Alligator mississippiensis: one gene and its partner. The protein of the gene in region 2 purifies or fractionates together with the protein of the main gene of each other region. This does not show direct contact. Links are inferred from orthologs where the notes say so. Each region holds a gene or a part of one and is shown on either strand. Other genes may lie near its edges.

Evidence for each region. The genes of interacting proteins can lie anywhere in the genome.
Region 1: the proteins of PTPRU (region 2) and GOLIM4 purify together in Homo sapiens (affinity purification with mass spectrometry; 3 studies listed by BioGRID and IntAct, counting the BioPlex papers as one, with this or other methods). This does not show direct contact. The link is inferred for Alligator mississippiensis from reciprocal best matches to the Homo sapiens genes PTPRU and GOLIM4.

What each region holds. Positions count from the first base shown.
Region 1 is NC_081830.1:73,493,493-73,501,085, forward strand, and holds the start of GOLIM4 (Golgi integral membrane protein 4), read right to left. Parts: upstream 3,006-7,593; 5' UTR 2,657-3,005; coding exon 2,470-2,656; intron 1-2,469. UniProt on the Homo sapiens protein: Plays a role in endosome to Golgi protein trafficking; mediates protein transport along the late endosome-bypass pathway from the early endosome to the Golgi.
Region 2 is NC_081829.1:10,863,427-10,871,441, forward strand, and holds the start of PTPRU (receptor-type tyrosine-protein phosphatase U), read left to right. Parts: upstream 1-5,006; 5' UTR 5,007-5,091; coding exon 5,092-5,170; intron 5,171-8,015.

The DNA.
Region 1 (7,593 bases), on a different chromosome or scaffold from region 2:
CCAAAAATGTCTCCATAAATAGTCTGACTTTCTCTACATTGAGGTTTGCCTATGGCTACACAATCTGTTTCTTATTTTATTTCTAGATTTAAGCCATTAGTAGTCAAACAAAAATAATCTGGGTTCTTTACACTCAAAAGATATCCAAATCAAATGAAGCCCTGAAAGGTAAACATTTTAGAGTTTTGAGAGGGACACGGCCAATTTAAAACCCAGGTCACTTAAAAATAAGAGTTCAAAGTACAGTCAGATATTGCACCTGCCCGTATGTTCTCAGTCAATGCTTTTGTTTGTGTTGTTTTAGAAGCGTGTATCTCTTTACAAAAGTTAACTTTCCCTGCTGCTATGCAACACACACACACACACCCCCCCCCCCACGGGGAAGCTGAAGTTGTACAAAAGGCCTATTTGATCCACCTTGTATAGTCATCTATTTCTGTGCTAAGTTGTTATAAAATACTGCATGTAAAATAAAAATATCAAATATCAAATGCTAAATCAGAATTCTCCCCACACTTACGCCAAGGATAATGCTTTACCTTTAGTAAAGGTACTTTGCATTCGTGGAAATGACTATACAAGGTGCAAGGATGTTCAAATTCAGCATCAATGTGCCGTTAGGCGCACACAGGATGGAAAATGCATGGGAGATGTATTTAGCCAGGGAGGAGGCTAGAAAGAAGTACTATTTGAGGCTCTGAGCCTACCTCCCAGAAATTTCAGAAAGAAAAAGAAAAATCTATTCAAGAATGTCTTTTTTTTGTAAAACTGGTGTCTCTTCCTTTCTCCAGATGAAGGGATGTATATTTATCTTTAGTAAAAAGGTTTACCTGTAGGGTATCTTTGATAGAAAAATCTTTTACATATGCTTGATATGCCCAAGAGGCTCACTCTCTCCTTTTTAAGCATATATTATTAAAATAAGTTAACCTTGGGGAAAACATTATTAGTTGTTCAGCAATTAATTTAAAATGGTAAGAGGAAAATTATATGTAATGTAGCATGAGACATGTTTTTTCTGGTGTTTCTATTGATTGTTTCTCTCCTATTTTTTTAATGCATTTATTTTCATGGGAAAATAGTCACTAACCCATAAAGTTTACAACGTGAATAGTTTAATTATAACATAGCCTCAGTGTGCGGAGCCATTTTATCTCCTCTTCTCTATCTTGGTAAAGTTTCAATCTATAGGATGAATGCCACCAATAAAGTTACTCTGCTGTCCCCCAGGTCAGTGAAAGTAACAGAAAGTTGTTGAAGTTTAACTTGACCAAGGAACAAGATGTTCTGGTTTTCTCCATTTCCTCTTCAAATTCTCTTGGCAAATATGCAGACCAGCTACAGCAGCCCTTCAGCCATCAACCACATCTCTCCCCCTCATGCCTCCTCGGTCACTACAGCGATGCCACCGCCAAGGTGTTCCATAGCATTATTCTATCAGAACTGGAGATGCTGAAACTAAGTAACCATGGACTTGGAATTTGTTATTGCACAGATTTAGGAGGCGCCAATAAGAGTTTAAAAACCTTTAACCCAATCCTGCTGTCCACGTGTAAAAGGTTGCAAGATCAAATCAACAATATTCATCCTACTGCTGTTTGTACAGTTGGTGCAATGTGTAACGCTGGTGCAGCGTGTAAAGTTCCAGGACGGTTAAACGCATCACATGCTCAATATTCAATTGTGGCCACCTCAAACACTTTGAACAGAAACTATACATACTAAGGCCAAAGCTTTCAAAAGCAGTCACTGATTTGTGTGTGCCTGACTTCAAGCAGCTGGGACTTAAAAAGGAACTTAAAAAGTTTTGCGCTTTACACAGCACTGATGGTCCATATACAATTTGACATCTTTGCATGCAGAAGTCCTTGGGAACTGACAGCGATCAGTTTCCAAAGCAAAATAATCTCCATTTCGAGCATCCTAAAACTGGAAGTGTCTGGTGATGAGCAGCCACTTCTAGGCAACTGCTTTGAGCCAAAATAGTCAAAGCCAGTAACAGAGCCTGTTCTTCTCTGTTCTTAAACTAGCTCAGGAAAGAGGACTTGAACCGTTCCTCACCTGGCGAAGCAACAGACCCTAAACTTTCAAGCTGGTCCCATCCCTTCCCACAATGGGATGTCACAGGCAAAATGCAAAGCAGTGGCAAAAGCCAAAATGCAGCCACTGGCTTTTGCGGGGCCAGGAGAGTAAGAAAAAGGGGGATGCAGCGAGTTTGCCTTTTCAGCTGGCAGCTGCAAGGTGCCCTGTGATCCTTCAGCAATAAGAGGGCCCTGTGGAGGGGAGGGGAGGGGAGAGGATCCTGGCCACATTCAAGTCAGTGGACTTGAAGGGGAGCATCTCCCCTGCACGTGGCGGCAGGCCCGGGGGAAGGGCGGGCGGGCGGGCAGGGAGCGGTGCGGCAGCTGCGGGGCAGATGTGCGCGGGGGTGGGGAGAGACTCGTGGCGGGGGGCAGGGAGCCGCGTTACCTTGCAGCTGGGCTGAGAGCGACTCCTGGTGCTGCTGGTATTTGAGCGCCATCGCCTCGGCTCGGCGCAGCTGGCTCTGCAGCTCGTAGTACAGCATCGCCCCGTAGATGAAGCCAAACACCACGCTCAGCAGCAGCAGGCTCTGGAAAACCCGCTTCTGCTTTCGCGAGCACATCCCGTTGCCCATAGTCCCTCCGCGGGGCCCGCAGCCCGGCCCGGCTCAGCGGCGGGCAGCAGCTGCCGGAGGAGGCGGCAGCACGGGGCAGCGCTGCAGCCCGCGCGACCCGCCGCCGGGCGGCCCCGGCAACATGCTGCGCTGCGCCCCGGGGAGACGGCGCGTCCCGGGGCCGGGGCCGGGGCGGGGGCGGCGCCTGGCCGCGCTGCTCGGGAGCAGGCGGGGAAGGAGCCCCTGACAGCGAAACAAAGGAAACTTCCCCGCCGCCGCCGCCGCCCGCCCCACTGACGTGTCGGCTGTGCTCGGCTCAGCACGGCTCGGCTCGGCGCGGCGCTGTTGCGGGTCCCCGGAGGAAGTCCCGCTCCGGGCGCGGCCTCATTGGCCGCGCTCTGCCCTCCCTTCGGGGAGGCCGCGCCGGAGCGCATTGGGTGCCCGCCGCGTCCGTCCGGCCACGGGCGCCCCCGCCCCGCTCCGCCCCGGCCCGGCCCGGCCCCCCGAGCGCCGGCAAGGGCAGCCGGGCGGGCCCGGGGACAGCACTCGCGCTGGGTGTGCGCGCAGGTTGCGTGTGTGTCCACACTGATGCCAGGTGTGGGCACAGGTTGTGCGTGTATGTACACACAGATACCAGACGTGGCTGCAGGTTGGGTGTGTGTGCATGCGTGCCGACTCCAAGTGTGGGCACAGGTTGTGTGTGTGCAGATTCCAGGTGTGTACACACAGATGCCAGGTGTGGGCAGAAGTTGAGTGTGTGTGTGTGTGTTTATACGCTGACACCAGGTGTGGGCACAGGTTGTGTGTGTGTGTGCATGTCCACACTGATTCCAGGTGTAGGCACAGGTTGAGTGTGTATGTTTGTGTGTGTTCATGCAGACTGATTTCAGGTCTGGGCACAGATTGAGTGTGTGTATGTGTTTGTGCATGGCCACATCCATTCCAGGTGTGGGCACAAGTTGTGCAGGTGTGTACACACAGATTCCAGGTGTGGGCACAGGTTGACTCTGTGTGTGTGTGTGTGTGTGTGTGTGTGTGTGTACGTGCTGATTTCAGGTGTGGGCACAGGTTGACTCTGTGTGTGTGTGTGTGTGTGCGCATATCCACACCAGTTCCAGGTGTGGGCACAGGTTGTGCGTCTATGTACACACAGATACCAGATATGACTGCAGGTTGAGTGTGTGTGCACGCATGCTGATTCCAAGTGTGGGCACAGGTTGTGTGCATGTGTGCATGTACACCCAGATTCAGGTGTGGGGTCACGTTGCTTGTACCTGTAGATTCCAGCTCTGGACGTAGGTTGTGTGCACACGTGTGTGCAAGTTCCAGGCAGAAGCTGTGAAAAAGTCTGACTTTTTCTGCTTCGGGGGGAAACAAAAAAAGAGTCCAGTTAAAGCCTTGTCAGGCCTCTTTGTTCCAGCCATGGTCGTTTATAGCATGTGTACCTGTGACAACCATGCATCTGTTTTTGAAGGACTTCTGCAAGAGCAGGAGCAGTCAGAGGGAGCGCTCCCTGTGTATATTTTTGCAGCACCCTCCTTGACACGCTCCAGCTGTCTGTGTGTTTGGGCTAGAGATAGAGGTGCTGTATATGTGTCTTGCTTGCTTCTGCACAGGCTCTAATTTGCAGGGAGGCAGCTTGTTTTACAGCTTGGTACAGAAATAAGCAGGGTGCTGATATAAACTGCAGATACTGACTATTTAGGATAATTATTATTATTAAATATGCAGCTATTAGGATAATGACTCTGGTCCCCTAGCCTGTACCTCTTCAAAGTGTTGTCATCTTCCCTGTGTTCCCAGCACCTTATGAGTTGCTCAGCATCCTCCAGGATCGGGTACTGCATGGGGAGTTACAAAAGACCTGATCATCAAAGGCCTGGGACTAGATAACACAGACCTGTGCTGGGCATCTTTAAATCCAAGATCCTTTATATGCAAGATGACAGCTGAATGCTCTTGGCACTTGGCAGGATTGCTTCAACATCTAGGATTGGATACTGATGTTTCCATTCCTTTTTGTGGGAAACTCAGTTTTTCCTTGCGGTTTATGTGGACTGTCACAATGCTGGGGTTTGATGATTACATGGGAGAAATGTTTTCAGCTCTTCAATGCAAGTCCCAAATGCTTCCTCTAAGGACGCCTTTCGCTGTATTTTTGGATTCAGCTCCCGTTCAATATTGTTTATGTTTAGTCTTCTGTTTCTGTTGCAGTACCTCTAAAGCCAGAATCTTCTACTCTCACCCACTTTCAGTGCTATCATTCAGCTCTAAAATGGCCATACGGATAAGGGTAAGGATGGTAAAAATAGGCCCTTTTGGGCATGTTTTGTAGTGAAATAATGAAAAGGTTTTCTTTCTCCATGTCAGAATACATCTTACATCTCTAGATAAGTGCATAATTTGCATAACAAGAACTCTCCTAAGTTTTTGCCTATTGCTTAAACTCAGGGCTGGATCCAAGGTCACAACCCCTTCAGTTGTGTGATGCATGTCAGTACTGGCATGTCAGCACAGCTCTGGCTGGAGCCTCACATGTGCCTTGAGCTCTGGGCTCACCCTTTGGCCCATGCAGGTTTGAGCTATACTTTCACACAGCTCTAGAGTTCAGGAGATGAGCATCACCCTTCCTTCCTTCCACCCTACCCCTTTCTCATGAGGTTGCAGTGGCAATGCATAGGGGGTGCACGGGAGTGCACATGCACTGCCTGAAAGCATTGGTACACCCCCTGACAGCGTTCCCAGGGAGGGGGGCAGATGAGAGCTCTGGTGCCCCCCTGAGAGCACCATCTAGGGAGTGGGGGCACCAGGAGAAGTGATCCCTGCAGTCCCCCCGCAGCCAATTACGCTCACCCAGAAGTGCCAGCACTGCTGCTACTTGTGGGTCTGTGGGATTCGTTGTGGGGGGACTTCTCCCGCTTCCCCCCTAGTCAGCAGGATTGGCAGGATTGGACCCCCCCCCCTCCACTCCCCAGTCGCTGACTGGTTGCTTTGGGGACAAGTGCCTCCCTGACTCAGGAGACACCAGTCGCCCATGTGGGGCCCCTATTATAAATATCTCTTATCTGCATATAAAAGTGCATAAACAGTTTAAATCCATAGCATCTTCCAGCCCTGCTGTCTATTTTGCAACCTAGTAGTACTCCATTTTACTGCATCATCAGTGAAACTGATAACGCATCTAAATTTCAAGGGGTCTAGGATAGTCTTGAGCTGAACAGGTCCTGAAAATTTCAAAGCTACTATAAAAGGCACCAGGCATCCTTGAAACATGGTAGAGATGTTAATGAGGTGCAAAAACCTTAGGGCGAGCTGTTCCTGTGATTAATGAATATTGTTTACCTTGAATTCTTGTAATTAATGAGCATTCTTTACATTGAAAAGTATTCTTTACATTGAGTTCCTATGCCCCAGGTAAGTACATAGCTTTGAAGCTGTGGACTACAACAGAATTTTCTGCGTACATGTTTATCTTGCTCCTTCAAGTTCACGCTCAAATTCCAATTCAGTGGTTGTGCTGTACAGAAAATTAATCTTAAATACTTAGGTTTCTTCATACTAGAACAGACCAGTGAGTCATCTAGTCTAGTTATCTGTATAAGTGACCATTGCCAGATGCTTCAGAGGAGAATGTAAGAAAACACAGTGCAATAGCCTGGCCCCAATGGAAGTTTCTTCCAAATAGTCTGCCAGATGTTGTAAAATATACAGGCTTGCATCCTTTACTACTTTTAAAATTCTAATAGATGTGAATATTCTTACGATCCAAGCAAATGCTACAAAGCCCTCAGCTTCAGTAACTGGTAGCAGTAAATTCCTCCAACCAATTGTCTCCCACCTAAATGTATTTCAGGGTCTTTTCATTCTAAATTCCCTGTCTTATGTTGAGAGAAATACTGTCTCTTCTCTTCCAATATTGTAAGAACATAGTCTCTCATTTTCTTTTTCTGTACTGTTCATTCAACACATTATGTCATTACTTGATCTCTTTCTCTCATATACCGCTTACCTTGGAAAGTTAGCACAAGAGCTACAATCTCAGAATTTATTGGAATTTAATCAGAATTGAAGCCAAGTACTGAGCAGCTAAGTCTGGTTTCTGTTTAAAACATTTAGACTTGGAGAATGATCTTATACATTTTGCAAAAATACTTTTAAAAGTTCCCTTATTCCTCCAGTAGAATTGCTGCAATACTTTTCTTCCCTGATTTAATCATTTCACTTCTTGTTACTGAATCTTCAACCAATTTATTTCTCTGCAGACAGAATTCAATCGAAGCCACTATTAGCAGCATAGATGCTAACATTAATTTGCCTCTTTCAATTTACACTATTGTAGACCCACTAATCTGCAGTATTGCCAATCCCAAATGTTCAAAAATAATGAGTCAGACACTAAAGAAATTGTGAGTCAAGCTTTAAAATGATGACATTTAAAATTGATTTATATTATGATGATTATGATTATTAGCCTTCTGCTTTTTGGAGCTTTTATAGGTCATGTTTTATGCTTCTCCTTAAAATCATGAGAGAGAAACTTCTTTAAAAATATTCCTAATTCTTACATAGCTTGGGCCTATTAACAAAAATAATAAATAAGAACATAAGAAGCACTTTACTGGATCAGACCACAGGTTCAGTTAGCCCAGATACATCTATCCGATACATCTATCCTGTATCTCTCAGTGGCAGAGAATGGACACCAAGGGAAAGAGTGTATATGCAGGACCTGTCGAGACTGTTCTGGTTTCTGCCTATCTTCCCTTACAGCTCCCAGCATTCAGGTTACTATGAAATTTAAGGGAATAGACCACAGTTATGATGAAACTCCATTCCCTTCTTTCATTCCTAATCTCTACAAATGCAGAGATTTTTCCCAGTTCCCAGACTCTTGGGGATGAAAAAGCATGACTTGTAGCACTAATGGGGTTTATCCAACTGCAGAGAGCAATAGTAAG
Region 2 (8,015 bases):
ATTCTGGCATTGCTGAATTAGCAATTTCTTATGAGAAAGCATTGTACTGAGTAGAGCACCCTGTCCAGATCTACTCTGTATATTAGCAGCCAAACCTAAATGAAACCCTGCTCTCCTGACTCCAAGGGCTGTGACTCCACACTGACCAATACTGTTATGAAGAATATGGTTTCTTAGGCACTGGCTTGAGGTCTTAAATGTTCCACCTGTCCTGCCTTTATTACTGCAACAGTAGCTCCTAGATGGTCTGAGATCAGGGTGCTGTTATGCTAGGCACTGCACATATGCATCCTGAGAGTCACTGCCCCAAAGAGCCTTCAGTCTAAACAGAAAAGACACCGTCATCGGCAATCCCTGGCAGTTGAAGATGATTGTCTTATCCATGGAATATGCTGGGCAAGCCGTTTCCATGGAAGATGCCTGTACATGATTTCTTTATTGTGGAGAAGCTGCTGCACATCAGCTTCCATGAGGTTCTTGGCAGAACAGGGCCTTGATCCAATGGCATGGAGGCCAAGAGCATTGGAGATCTCATTCTGCTGCAGCCTTCATCTGCCTTCACAGCTGTTGAGATTCTAACATCTTCTGCATGCTCTGCTGTTGGGGACTTGTAGACCCATGGCTAGGGGCTGGGCAGGCTTATTATAAGGCAAACTGTACTTGCCATGTCACAGCACCATCAAAGGATATATGTGGCTTTTCAGGAGAGAATGCATTGCCATCTGCTGTCCCCACCATAGCCTGGTGGTGCTGCCGGTGCTTGGTCCATGACTGCTTATTTATCAGTTACTCCTGCTTATTTTGCAGCTAACCTTCCCTGAAGGTCATTCCACTCTCTGCCACCCGTGGATGCTCTGGGTAGCAAGCAGTGTAGCTTTATTGCCAGATAAGACAAACTGATGGCAGGAAGAAGGAAGCAGAGATCCAGAGAAGTGATTGCTCCAGGTCCCATGAGAGGTCAGTGGTGGAGCCAAAATCAGAAGCCAGGTTTCTTGACTCCTAGTCCCACACCTCATCTATCAGTCCATGTCACTTATGGACGGTGACAGCCTTTGCTGCAGGAACTGTGTGAGGCAGTGGAACAACTCCAGCACCATCCTTGTCCACAGAAGCATCTTTAGCCTATATGCAGCACTGAAGCGGTTATGTTGAACGCTCCTGTGTGCCCAGCCTAGCAATTTCATATTCCAGGAGGGTGTTTGTCCTGTGAAGGATCTGCCTCCAGCAGGATAAAACAAATAGATGAGCCCAATTTGCAAGAGTGGCAGAGCTGCCTTTTGGAGCGCTGAGTTGTATTTGTGGGGAACAGAACAGAAATTGGATAAAGCTCCTTGCATCTGCTGGCAGCACAAAGCAATGCAGAGCACAGCTATTCCCAGAGATACAGCACACATCTTCAGGGCTGGGGATTTTCCTAGTACATTTGCAGATCTGAATTACACCCATATATTAGCTGTTTGACACAGCAATCTGTCACACTCGGGCCTGGCAGACAGAAGCAGAGGACAACTTTCCTCCCACTTGGCCCAGTCTGGACACCACAGTGTGTGTGTGGGTGTGGGTGTGTGGCGGGGGTGCAACTGCTTTTGTCCAGGGCTATCCACCTATCTGTACATTCCTCTCTGAGTATAACAGTCACCAGTTGGCATGTCTGCCTGTATCTGTCTGTCCAGGGGCTGGACAGTGTGTGCCTATATGTCACCATGTGTGATCATGTGTTTGTGAGTACTTGTATATCTTTGTGTGTATGTGTTCATGCCAATCTGTGTCTATGCCATTGTATTTGGCTGGATGTTTGGGAGTTTGTGCATCAGTTACTCGGTGTGTGGCTGTAAATAACTTTCCCATCAGGATTGTCCCTCTTGAGTCACACTTCATTAATTTCCCAAGGAAGCATGACCAGGTCCAAGCTGCATCTCCAAGCATTGCCCCCCCCACCTCCCCTCACAACACATGGGAAAGAGTCCTGGCCTGGGAGAAAGAGTTGCATTGATTTTGCAGGGAGTGCTGAGAGTGGAGCTGGGCTCGCAGGGTGCTCTCTGCTGTACTGTTGCCTCACTGCAAACAGATTGGAGGGGTGACTCGCAGGTGCTAGTCTTTGCAGTGCTTTAAACTTGTTCCTGGACAGTTGCTTCCACTGGTTCTGTGGAGTGTGTCTTGTGGAGTGCCCATTGCCATGCTCTCCAGGCAGCCAGCCCCAGAAGTGGGCTTAGCTCCAGCTATTCAGATCTCACATGCCAGGATACAGCAGGGTTGAGATTTCCTCATATACAGAGCCCACAGCTGGGACCCAACTTACCAAGAAGCCCAGCACCCAGCTCAGCCCCTAAGGAAATCTGTCCCTGGAGGATCATCATGAGAGAAGTGTGGGAAAGTTTGTGTCTAGGGAGACACTTTTTGGCTGAAATTGCCAAGGTAGCTTCAGCAGAGACCTATGTGTTCTCTGAATGTCCTTGGGGATAGCGTTCACACACACACATGCACACATGCATGCACACACACCCACACACATGGCTGAGCCGTACTCATACAGAACCCTTCCTGCCTCTGTCATATCCACACTCTCACCAGCCGTCCCTACATGAACACCATCTCCACATTCACCCACACTCACAAATGTCCACATGTGCTCCCCTCCTGCATGCCCCCACTGCAGATGCCTAGTCCTCAGACTCACTCCTCATCACACACCCATAAAACATCAGCATGCTGCACCTTCACTGATCCATGCCACCTTTGCACAAGCAGTCATTGAAGCTTTGGTATCCATTGAATCAATGTCCAGAACAAAATCGCCTTGCCTTATCCCTCCCTCTGCTCTCCTCTCTACCCCACCTTCCCCATCCCTCTCTCCCACCAATCAGACTGAGACACAGTTATAACTCTACCTGCCTTCAAGGTTTTATCTGTTTAATTAGATAATTTTCCACCCCATTTGTCATCAGTGGCTCAGCCGTGCATTTGAGCCCCCGATTAGAACGACAGCCCCGTGCAAATAAATGAACGCTCAGACCAGTGCTTCCCTCCAGAGAGGATGTCAGCCCACAATGCTTCTTTCATCTCCCTTGGCATCAGTGCCCACGATTGAGTCAGCCCCCTCACCTCCATGGAGATCGCTCCTTAGCCTCTGTATCTCTCCATCAGTACCTCAGCGTGAGGCTTTCTGCCTTTCTGAGGATCTGTCTTGCCGTCTCCCTCGTGTTCTCCCTTTTGCCTGCTCCTGGTTATCACAGTGCCTAATGGAAGCCCAGCACAGCCATGGCATTTCCAGCTCCCCCTTGTCAAGCGCTCGCCCATGGATTAATCTTTGTGTGCTCTCCCTCGTGCCTTCCCCCAGCCCTCCATCTCCCCTTTGATCCAGAGGAGTGTTTCTTTGCCAAGCAGCATCCTATTGCCCCCACCCTTACCATCACGGGCAGCAGCTGGGGTGGGGGTGTGCTGGTCAGTAGAGTGAACAGGCAGAGCGGGGGAAGGCAGCTCTTCTCTCACCATCCCGAGTCCCCATGCCCCTATGGTCTTGGCCAGGAGGCTTCAGGCTGATTCACCATCGCAGTTATTGAAGCCTCCTGCCCTGATCCCCCAAGTAGCTGTGCCCAGGCCACCCCCTACACCCAGGCAGGGCTCAGTAACTTCCTAGGAGCCATGTGAGGGCATGAGGCCTTGTCGTAGAGTCCGCTGCCGTGGGGGCCTTACAGCGAGCCCCGCTGCAGGGGTGGGAGCTGGGGCTCCAGCAGGGCACTAGGGGGGGACCGCCCCCAAGCTTTAGGGTTACCATACATCTGGGTTTTCCTGATCATGTCCTCTTTTTAGATCCTCCAATCTCGGTCTGGGCGGTTTCCTTAAATATGATCAAATGTCTGGGGTTTTGGTCAGCTCTGCTTCAGAGTTTTTCCTGGTACTTCCCGGCTTGCCCTAGCAAGGAGCAGCTTGGGGCTGGGGGCAGGGCAATTGGAGGCAGGGCGCACACGTGGTAGGGGTGGGACCAGCCCGGCAAGTGGATCCAGGTAAGTCTGTGGGGGGCTGCGGTTGGAGGAGCAGGGCTTGGGGATCGTTGTGGGGTGTGCGTGTGGCAGGGGTGTGTGTGTGTGGAGCTGTGCGGGTGGGGTGTGTGTGGCAGGGGTGTGTGTGGGTGTGGCAGGGGCATATGTGTGTGGCAGGAGTGTGTGTGTGTGGTTGGGGGCATGGGTGTGTGATGGGTATGTGGCAGGGTGTATGTGTGTGTGGCAGGGTATGTGGGTGGGAAGGGGCGTGGGTGTGTGTGTGTGTGGCAGGGTGTGTGGCAGGGTGTGTGTGTGTGTGTGGCAGGGGTGTGTGGCAGGGGGTGTGGGTGTGTGGGAGGGGGCGTGGGTGTGTGTGTGGCAGGGGTGTGTGGCAGGGTGTGTGTGGGAGGGGGTGTGGGTGTGTGTGATGGGTATGTGACAGGGCACGTGTGTGTGGCTCAGGTGATGGGTTTGTGGCAGGGTGTGTGTGTGTGTGGCTGGGGTCGTGGGTATGTGACGGGTTTGTGGCAGGGGGTGTGTGTGTGGGAGGGTGTGGGTGTGTGTGATGGGAATGTAGCAGGGCACGTGCGTGTGGCTTGGGTCGTGGGTGTGTGATGGGTATGTGGCAGGGTGTGTGTGTGTGTGGGAGGGGGTGTGGGTGTGTGTGATGGGTGTGGCAGGGCACGTGCGTGTGGCTTGGGTCGTGGGTGTGCGATGGGTATGTGGCAGGGTGTGTGTGTGTGTGTGTGTGTGGGAGGGTATGTGTGATGAGTATGTGGCAGGGGGCGTGGGTGCGTGTGTGTGGCAGGGCAGGGGGCGTGCGGCGCGGCAGCCCCCGGGCCGGGCCGGGCCGGTGCCCGAGGTCGCAGGGCGCAGCAGCAGCAGAGCCCAGCGCCCCGCGGCGCAGGTGCGGTGTTGGGGGTGCGGGCGGCGGGCGCGGTGGGGCGCAGGGCCGGCAGGAGGCGCCCTGTGCCCGCGCTAGGCTCGGCCGCGGCCCCGGCGCTGACGTCAGGGGCGGGCGGAGGCGCCGCTCGCGCGGGGCTCGGGCTACTTCACCGGGCTCCGGCGGCGGCGGCGGCTCCGGCTCCGGCTCCACGGCCGCGGCGGCATCATGCGGGAGGCGCGGGCGCTCGTGTTGGTGCTGGTGCTGGGCGCCCAGCTCTGCGCCCCGGACAGCGACACGCCGACAGGTCAGCGTCCCTCGCCCGCCCGTCCGCTGCCGGGACCCCGCTGCCGAGAAGTTTGCGCCGCGGTGCCCTGCCCTGCCCTGCTCTGCCCCGCTCTCCCCTGCCCGGCCCGGCCCCGGCTCGGGCTCCAGCCGCTCGCGAGCCGTGAGGAGCGGGAGCGGGGCCGGCAGGAGCCGCCTCTCGGTGCGCTGCCGCGGGGAGAAACTTCATGCCGGCCGCGCTCTCGCTCGGGGCTCTGGCTGAGAGGCAGGAGAAACCCGGGTCGGTCACCGAGGGACTTTTCTTTGGGGAAACCCTCCCCGCCACCGATATTTGTCTTTCCCTGTTGCATTTAGGGGTGCCCCCGCATGCTGGTGCCCTGTGCGGGAGGGTGCGCATTGCCCCGTCCGCTCCTCTCCGGCTTCTGCCGCCGGGTTTGGGCACCTGGGATGCGGGAGTGACAACACGCAGTTGTGCGCCCGTTGTTGAGGGCATCCCGCAGCGAGAGCAAGGAGGGTCTCGGTCCCTGTGCAAGAGGGAGAGTCAGCCGAGCTCGGGGACGCCGCTGGGAAGACCGGCGTTGTCATTGCCAGCTCTCCCCGGCTGTGCCAGCCTAATGAAGGTGTAGGCGAGGTTTGTTCCAGAGAAAGCTAAAGATCCTCAACTTCGTCTGATCCCCGCAAGTTGAAAAGCAGTGGTTTGAAGCTGGGGTTTCGGGGATTGCTCAGCGTCGCTTCTCCGCTTGTTCCTTTCCGTGCCGGGCGTTCGGGTGCACGGAGGGGCTTGCGGCAGCTCTCCCATAACAAACCCCTCTCCTCCAGGCATGTAATAAATGCGGTGTTGAAAGAAGAGAGCAACTCTCGGGGCTGAAGCTTCCTAGACAGATTCAGCCCAGAGGCAGGCTTTGTTGATAAGGGACGAGTTCAAGTGTGTGCATATACATGTACACACACTTGCACTCGCACACACACTTTTGCCATCTCTCAGCTTTTAATCTGGAGCGTCCTTGTTTTTTCCATCTGATATTTCACGGACTCCCGGTTGGCATGATATGCATCTGGCTCCATCTGCCTGGTTTGGGTCACTCCATGGCTTCGTGCGTGTGTATTTCTGTTGCTGGGGGGGGGGGAATGTCTGGGTTGGTAACGTGGCCCCTGTGTGCTAATTATTTTTGGTGGGTGTTGTGTTGGGGCTGCAGCAGGGAGTGGTCTGAGACGGGTTTCTGAAATGACAGCTGCTCTTGCATGTTTCGAATCCTTTTGGGAAAGATTTTTTTGTTGTTATTCTTTTCAATAAGTAAGTAAATTTAAATACAAAAACTCTGTGGCCCTGGTATTCTAGTGAGCCACGGAAATTAGATGGAGGAAAACCACTCAGCGCCAGTCCTGCCCAGTGCAGACTACTTCTGTTATATACTTACTAACACATTTGTCTTGCCTTGTTTTAAATGCCCCTAGAAGGGGCTTCCATGGACTGAGCGGTTGCTTGCCTATCTTGCTTAACTTCTTCCCGGTGCTCTTTCTTCGGTGCCCCCAACGAGCGCCCTAAACAATTCCTCTTGCCCTCGTCCACCCTTCTCATCCCTGTCTGTCCCCCCACAGGGGTGGTGTTCGAGGGGACGCTCAGTGCAGTGGGGGAGCCGTGCGGGGATGTTTGGTGTCCTTTGCTGTAGAGGACATGCAGATGGTGACTGAAATGCACAGAGATCCGGGGAGGCACAGGCCACTGTGCTCTGTCACACATGCTGTTGCGCTCCTGGCTGATGGGCACGAGGAGTTGCCGTATGTAGGATGCTGAACAACGTAGTGTAGCAACAGTTAAAATGCTGCAGTCGGACCCTGGCCAGCTGGAGCAGGTGTAGGGTGTAGGGTGCATGTGTTTTAGGGCTGGCTCTGTTTGCATCCAAGTCGCACCATCTTCATTGCCCAGAATATCTTGATAGTCTGATCCCTCCCTCTTCCTTTTTTCCCACAGCATAACCAGGAAATAAAACTTTGTTCTCACAGGGATGTTTCTTACTTCAGAGCTTGCCAAATTTTAATCGTTCTTGAAACGAATGGATCCGCTAGGGTAAACGCGCCGCAGATCTGAACTGAAGTAGCTAAACAACAGCTTGGGCTGCGCTGCTCCCATCTGGCGACTGTGTTCGAATGTAGGGGTTCCAGTTCAGGCCGGTAGAGAGAAGCTAACTCTTCCCGATCTTGAAACCTGCGCCCAGCAGAGATCTGCCTCTGGGTTTGGGTTTACGTTTTAAACTGCCCTCTTGCAGTCAGGAGTAGGGGGCCAGTGCGGGCAAGTCCCTACAGAGCAAGTGGGGCATGTGAATCTGGTCTCTCCTGCAGAGGACGGCCGTGGGTTCAGGTTTCTAGGCTGCTTCATGGAGGTTCTCCTTATGAAGGGGAGAAGCAGACACAGGTGATACCTGGGGCGGGATTCAGTACCTCTCAAATGCTTTCTGGAGTAATAACTCTCCTTTAAGACTGCTGCTGCTCTTTGATGTACACCGTTTTCAAGCGTCTTTTCATCGGGCTATATTTAGATGTTACAGAACGTTTTACTAAACAAGGATGTTTGTCCCGCCTGCCCCCCCCTTGAGTGACGTTAAAATGAAGCTGGTCTCTAAGCATCTCATCCGGTCCTGCTCCTAGGAGAGTCATGGGAGAGAGAAACTTGACCCTGAGAGCTGGCGTGGAGAAGAGATAAACAAGGGGAGAGGAGGACCTTTCTCCACCCCCCCCCCCGCATGTACACGTACACATGCATATATGTACACACTTACACAATTTCCCAACATGTCAGACATGTCTCCGGCTTCCTTAGGAAACATGAGTGGGCGTGGAGTTGTGGTCGGGTTTGAATGGGGGCAGTG